Arabidopsis thaliana: one gene and its partner. The protein of the gene in region 1 interacts with the protein of each later gene in a pairwise test. Each region holds a gene or a part of one and is shown on either strand. Other genes may lie near its edges.

The links. The genes of interacting proteins can lie anywhere in the genome.
Region 2: the proteins of AT4G03250 (region 1) and ZIM interact in a two-hybrid assay, tested with the Arabidopsis thaliana proteins (one large-scale study listed by BioGRID).

What each region holds. Positions count from the first base shown.
Region 1 is NC_003075.7:1,423,290-1,427,043, forward strand, and holds the start of AT4G03250 (Homeodomain-like superfamily protein), read left to right. Parts: upstream 1-1,612; 5' UTR 1,613-1,760; coding exon 1,761-1,770; intron 1,771-2,249; coding exon 2,250-2,357; intron 2,358-2,440; coding exon 2,441-3,046; intron 3,047-3,221; coding exon 3,222-3,301; intron 3,302-3,447; coding exon 3,448-3,754. Other genes in the region: FH (frataxin-like protein), read right to left, coding at 396-525, 751-845, 945-992, 1,090-1,162, 1,252-1,469.
Region 2 is NC_003075.7:12,643,616-12,647,369, forward strand, and holds the start of ZIM (GATA-type zinc finger protein with TIFY domain-containing protein), read left to right. Parts: upstream 1-1,948; 5' UTR 1,949-2,169; coding exon 2,170-2,475; intron 2,476-2,631; coding exon 2,632-2,721; intron 2,722-2,805; coding exon 2,806-2,939; intron 2,940-3,409; coding exon 3,410-3,517; intron 3,518-3,626; coding exon 3,627-3,732; intron 3,733-3,754. Other genes in the region: CLT2 (CRT (chloroquine-resistance transporter)-like transporter 2), read left to right, coding at 1-16, 96-211, 536-635, 728-763, 851-901, 1,107-1,230, 1,320-1,445, 1,535-1,695. UniProt on the Arabidopsis thaliana protein: Transcriptional activator that specifically binds 5'-GATA-3' or 5'-GAT-3' motifs within gene promoters.

The DNA.
Region 1 (3,754 bases):
TTTGTCCTTATTGGTGCTTTCGAAGAAGTGGAGATTGACCCTGCAAACATTGTTAACCAACTTTTTTCCGAAATTATTGTGAGATTCGAGGAGTTTTGACAAATGTAGGACTTTTGTCGTTCAAAAGAAATGTTTTCATCTAAAACGCGTAAACCTGTAAAAGGCAGCTTCAGCTCTGATTAAACAAAGAGACTTGCAACAATGTCACTATGAGACATTACTGTTTAAAAATAGATTCAGAAACACTAATCAGTTTTCACACTAAAACAACTTTGTCTTCTGCCTTGTTTGTTTATTCCTCTGGATGTTTCATAGATATACCTTTAACAGGGTATAGCAGTTTCAAGTTCATAGATGAAACCCTTTCGCTCACAAATATTGTTTTAAAGCCTTCTTTATGAGAGTTGGATTGGTTCACCACATAGATTCTCTAACTCCTCTTCCAGGAGTTTATGCAACTTTGCTTCAGTTCGCCGATATATCCACGCATTAGCATCACGGTCCCAGTCAAATCTAGAAGGGCCACTGCACCGAGACAAAAGGAAGAATGAAGATTACATTAATGTGAATCTAAGATGTGGAAGCACAAAGTCAAGAGCAACAACACTATACAGTCATAAACAGTTTCATTTCTCCAAATATCATGAGTACAAAAATCAGAAGAGAGAGCAGAACATGATAATCCAGATGCGAAATTCAATCTAGGCGCCTAAAGTTAGCAACTTTCAAAAGGCAAGAAAGAATCTTTACCTCACAGGTGAAGACATCCAGATTTGTCGATTTGGAGTTTGCTTATTCAGTACATAAGTGCCTAAAGATCCAAGCTTAAGGGTAAGAACTTCATTCTGTTGGAAACAGCCAAAAGGACTGACTATAATAAGTACACATAGATTTCCAGAAATATGAACAAGATCTTAAATTGCTTAAAAGAGTTTAATCCTTACCCCATAATCTATGTCGAAACCATCAATCTGAACATTATCACCATAATCCTGAACATGAATCATGCAAGTAGAACATAGTGTAAGCTATTGCAATCTCAAGTAAAACGAAGAACCCTAGAGAGAAAAAGGTTCCAGCTTCAAATACCTCAATTTTCTCAAGAAGGTGATTAATTGTGAAGTTGGCTAATTTGTGAAACTCTTCCTCCTGCAAAACCGAACTGTTTTTTTCTTCCACTTTGTTCATATTCTCATGAAATTAACGATTCAGATACAATAAAGGAGATCAAAATGGAGAATATTAAAGTACCTGTAATCGACAGAAGCAGGACCTTGAGAAGAGAAGCTTCTGGTAGTCAAAGAATCATGGCGGATTCGAGATCCTATTCTCCAGAAGGAATCCAACGGTTCTATGGAATCTTGAATCAGATTGCTTGAAACTCTTACGCCATTGCTACGGAGAAGAGTTGGAGACAGCTTGAGAAACCTCGGCAATTTCCGTAGAAGAAACCTTGAAGCTGTAGCCATGGCGGTTCTGTCACAAGAAACATTCGACGCCTCTCTTCTTCTTATTCCTTCGTTGTCCAATTTAGGCCCACAATAAGGCCCAAATTTAGATTTACCCGGTTCACGTATTTCCCATGTTCCGGTTTACTGAAACCGGTATGGTTCTCAAGAGATTTGTCATTTGTGTGCGAAGAAGAGTTTTCTTCTCCTCTCATAAGAAAAAACCAGAATTTTGAAGAAGGAGAAAGAAAAAAATCTGGGTTTTTGGGAGCTGATTAGGTTTTGTTCCTTCAATCTCTGGGAATTTTCGCTATGCACTCAGGTGAAATTCGTTTTTTCCTCTATTTCAATCTCTGTCTTCCTGCGAGTTTACGTGAGAGAATAGTTTTTAATGATCCCGAGTTCGTCGAATTACAATGCAACTCCCAGTTTTTGTAGTTTTAATTAGCGAAATTCATCAATGGCATTGGAAATTTTAAGCCTTTTTTGGTTTGTTTTATGGTACTACTAATTATTCAAGCTAAGGAATTCCAAAGTTTTCGTTCGTTTTGATTGGGTTTAGAAGTATTTGGCTGATGAGAGAAAGAGCCATAATTCTGAAATTAAACCCTTTTATGTGAAGCTTGTGTAGATGTTTTACCTGAATTTCGGAATTACTAGCAACATTTCTAAATACACAAAGCATGATTGTAAAATGAAATTGATTTTGGTCAGGGCTTTGCATCTCTTGGTTATTGAATGGTGTCCGTGTTTCACTATTATCTTCTTATGTTTTTGATTTTTATGTGCTATTTTCGATAGATTCAGGCGAAGCGACCGCTGATGGCGATAAAGCTTCTACAGAAAACAGCAAAAAACGGAAGCTTAAGACTCCTATGCAAGTTATGGCGCTTGAGAATTTCTACAATGGTAAATTATGGCTTTGTTGTTTGCATATGTTCCTTTATACCAAGTTGTATATGCTTTACAGGTGTGATTTGGTTTTTCTACAGAGCATAAGTATCCGACTGAAGAAATGAAGGGCAAGTTAGCAGAGGAAGTTGGATTAACTGAGAAGCAAGTTTCAGGTTGGTTCTGCCATAGAAGGTTAAAAGACAAACGTCATGTAAAAGAAGATGGGAATGCCATTGGGAGCCAAGATCGGTCAAGCGTTGTTCTTCAGGATCGTGGAAGTGGGCTTCGACAGGATTCATGTGGTAGTACAAAGCAAACGGATTATTGGAACCCCAAGCCTAGGGAAGTTGAAAGTCAAAGGCTTTATATGGGAAATGCTGATGGTGAAGATAGTACATCTTCTGATCGTAGCTCATCATTACGTAAGAATCTTGTCTCTAGCAAAGATGGAATTCGCGATGTGGAAAGTTCTAGATATGTTGCACATAAAGACGTTATTCAGCATCCTCAGTTCATGAGAAGCTATGGGTATAATAAGCCTTCGGGATACTTGAAAGTGAAGGGAGAGAGTGAGAATTTTGCTATCACTGCCGTAAAGAGACAATTAGGAAGACAATACCAAGAGGATGGTCCACCTCTGGGGGTTGAATTTGATCCTCTTCCTCCCGGTGCATTTGAGCCTCAGACTAATCCTATAGTTCACGGTGAGTCATGATAAAATGTTTCAACTTTACCTTTAATTTTCTGGTTTATGATGTTATGAGTATTGAGTAAGTGGCTCAGAGAAGCTAAAACCATCTTCTTCGTGTGTCAGATTGTGAATGCCTTTACCCATGTCCAGTCGGATTTGATTGCTTTTTCTATCAACTGTTTTGTCAGAGCCAATATATGTTGGGAATCAGAGACGGCCTCACCTTCCACATTTACTTGGAACGAGGAAGAGCTTTAATCCTGGTCCTGTAAGTGAACATTTTCTGTATACTACATACCCATGAAGATAATATAAACTAGAATCTTAGTCTGCCATCACATTCTTTGGCTAAATTATCTTACTTTCTTTGAAGTATTATTAATATTTTCGTTTTCTGTCTTAATGTCTTTATAGAGCTATGAATTAGCTCGTAAATCAAAGTTGCATTCGCCAGATCCAGATTCAGAGGATGATGAGCATGATGATGATGACAACATAATGGTTGGAATGGAGCCTGGTCTAAGAGATAAGAAAAGTTTTGGGGAACCAAGACTGAAATCCCCTTCTACCAGTTTCTATAATTCTGTACCTCGCCACAAATCGTTTAAAGAGACATTCAAAGGTTCACCACGGGAAATCCCTGTAACTAACAGCAAGAAGGGTTGGATAAGTTCCAAAAGTTGGGCTGAAGGGTCGAGAAACCATCTGGTTGCCAACGTCC
Region 2 (3,754 bases), about 11 Mb from region 1:
ACCCATTTTGAATCAGGTCTTTTGGTTTTATGATTATCTTCTTGCTCATTTGTTCTCATGGGGGTGTTGAACTCATGCCTCCCAATGTTTGGCAGACATATTTGGTGTGGCAGCTGCTTTTTGCTCTTCTTATTTTAGGCAGGAGGTTTTTGCTTAACCAAATTGCTGGTTGTCTCCTTGTGGCTGTGGGGGTTGTGGTGGCTGTTTCAAGGTATTCCTTCCTCCCTCTTCTCTTCTTCTAAAGTTACTTTTATCTTCTTGGATCTGGATGCTTGATCTTGGGGTAGAGAAATGTTTGTGTATCCGTGGTCATTTACAGATTATATCAAGAGAGTGCTTTCAGCTCTTACAATCTAGAAAACTAGTTTTCATGGACCAGAGTCACACCTATCAAATTCACCATGCTAAATGAATGGAGACGGCTCTACTTTAGTATTTATCATCCACATAGCAAATAGAAGGCCCTGATTCTAGAGAAGCTTGTGTGATAGTGATACTTTCATTTTTGTGAATGCTGACTGTAACTCATCTGCAGTGGATCTGGTGCAGATACTACGCTATCTGGAATCGGTTTCTTATGGCCTGCTGTATTGGTAGCATCCGCTGCTTTTCAAGCTGGTGCATCTATCATAAAGGTGAAGGTCGCTCTCTCTTATGAGTTGTGAACATTTCTATTTTATTTTCTTTTGCCAAGACCCAAGTTGTTAAGTGTTTTGTCTGTTAACAGGAATTTGTTTTCAATGATGCTGCAAAGCGTCTTGAGGTATCTCCCTTATCCCCTGCATCAAACAGGAATGCTTTTCTTTCGAAACTTTGCTGAATTAACTCTAAGATTAACTGGTGGATGCAGGGAAAGTCACTGGATATATTTGTGGTAAATTCATTTGGATCTGGATTTCAGGTATCTACTACTACAATATCATGTTGTAAATGTATTTGTTACAGCCAAAACAATTAGACATGCTTCTCCATTACATCAAGAGTACGTGAAGAAAACATTTGAAAGCTGCTTTCCTCTGTTATTCACTTATTATCTCTCTCCTACTTGAGAAGAGTTTTTGTTTTTTGGTTTAGTGTTACGGATCACTGAAGCTGTGCTTGTGCAGGCTCTTTTTGTGTTCCTGTTGTTGCCTTTTCTCTCAAACTTGAAAGGCATTCCATTCGCCAGCCTTCCTTCATATCTAAAAGATGGTGCCGGATGCTTCTTCAACACTGGAGCTAAGATTTCTGGTTAGAGACCATTCGACACTTGTTTTTTTTTCCTTCATTGAATTTTATTCACTGCTAAAACTTTGTGATTATCCATTTGAGAATTTCAGGCTGTGATGGTGCCCCTATACTCCCACTGCTCTATATATCCACCAATCTCGCTTTCAACATCTCATTGCTCCATCTGGTGAAAATATCTTCAGCAATCGTTTCCTCTCTTACCATGATGCTCTCAGGTCCATATTTCTATCCTTCCATGCAACGCCTCTTAAGTGTCACCAAATACTCAAACCCATATGAGATAATACTTTTGGTGTTGTTGTAGTGCCATTAGCGGTGTACATAATGTCAAAACCATTGCCGTATCTACCGGGAGGATCAAGCTTGAGCTCAAATTTTACGATGGGGTGTATAGTTCTTGTCCTAGGTCTTCTTCTCTACAACATTCCCACTACTCCAACTAAACAACACACCAAGACCTCCTAACACACTCACTCACCATTCATCCTTTTTGTGCATTACTTTTTTTTTTGTTGATAAACCAAATTCGTGTAATTTCCCAATTTTTTTTCCTTTGACCATCAAAGATACATAGAATATTCTCAGATATTTTTTTTACGTGAAAAACTAGCTTAAAGAAAAAAAAAAAAAAAAAAGAATAACAAGAAGAGAAATTTGTGATTGGTTAAAAATCCAGTAAAGTAGAGTCGTCGGGTCGTCTCGGAAGCAGTGCTGCGATTTTACCTAAAGTCACCTTTTTTTTTTACCGTCGGGTGAATTCGACGACGGTCCTAATCTCGCCTCCTCCACACGCGCCGATCACCATCTCTCTCTGTAATCGCTCTTCTCGATGTCAACTATTTCCTTCTTCCTTTGCTCTTAGGGTTAGGGTTTATTTTGTTCTTTCTCTATATCCTTCAATCAATGTGAAAAAAAAGCTCTCCCTTTTGGCAGTTTCCGATGTTTGGTCGCCATTCGATTATCCCAAATAACCAGATTGGTACCGCCTCTGCTTCCGCTGGTGAAGACCATGTCTCTGCCTCCGCTACGTCTGGTCACATTCCTTACGACGATATGGAAGAAATCCCTCATCCTGACTCTATCTATGGTGCTGCCTCCGATTTGATTCCCGATGGCTCTCAATTGGTTGCTCACCGATCCGATGGCTCTGAATTACTTGTTTCTCGGCCACCGGAAGGGGCGAATCAGCTTACGATCTCGTTCCGTGGACAAGTTTACGTTTTTGATGCCGTTGGTGCTGACAAGGTAATTCTACTCTGTCCCTCTTTTGTTATTTGTGTGAAGTCTCGATGGATGCATCTGAAACATAACATCTGATGGCTTAGGGCACGTAACGATTGCCTCTTTTGCACCTTTGTGCTTTTGCTAGTCTTAACCAAACTTTGGAAATTGATTTCGTAGGTGGATGCTGTGTTGTCGCTGTTGGGTGGTTCTACTGAGCTTGCTCCTGGTCCGCAGGTGATGGAACTAGCTCAACAGCAGAATCATATGGTAACTTTGTTATTTGTGTTCAAATTCTGCTTAAATTGTCACTTCATCTCGATTCCACCTTTTTCAGTTTGGTGTTATTTTTAGCCTGTTGTAGAATATCAGAGCCGCTGTAGCCTTCCGCAACGGGCACAATCCTTGGATAGGTTTCGGAAGAAGAGGAATGCTAGATGTTTCGAGAAGAAAGTAAGATACGGTGTTCGCCAAGAAGTTGCCTTAAGGTCAGTGTGTCAGTCTTGAGTTTTACCAATTTATGCCAAAAGCTGTTACTCTGAACAAAATTCTTTCACCTTTTCTGGGATAAAAATTTAGTATTCTTGTATAGCTAAACTAAAAATTTTCTACTCTTCTGGCTATGCTCTGGTTGCTTAACTACTTCCTCACTTTCGTGTGCTATGGATTGAAAGGAAATCTGTTCATATTCAACTAGTTTACTATCTAGCTAGTTTTCTTTTATTTGTTTCAAGAAGTTTGGTGACCATGTAGGTGTTTATGTAGAGTAGTAGGCTTCATTGTCCATGGCTTGCTGTAGTATTTGACAATATGGTTGTAGTTGAGCAGGATAGACATCTGAGTCTTTGTTAGTGTGATAAGTAGCTTTTACTGGAAATAATCGACATGTCTATTTCAATAATAAGGGATAGGATTTGTCACCTTCTCTGCCTCTCTGACCTTTGTTAGTGTTTATCAGAATGGCACGTAATAAAGGTCAATTCACCTCTTCAAAGATGACAGATGGGGCTTATAACTCTGGCACAGATCAAGATTCTGCCCAAGATGATGCCCATCCAGAAATATCGTGAGTTCTTTCTCTTCTCTGCCAATTAACTGTTCCTGCAATTTTTGTTTTCCACTAATGTGGGACATTTTGTTTGCACTTATTTTAAACGTGAGTGTGTCTTATGTAGGTGTACTCATTGCGGCATTAGTTCCAAATGTACACCAATGATGCGACGTGGCCCTTCCGGCCCCAGGACTCTCTGCAATGCCTGTGGACTTTTTTGGGCTAACAGGGTACGTATGAAAGACAAAGTGA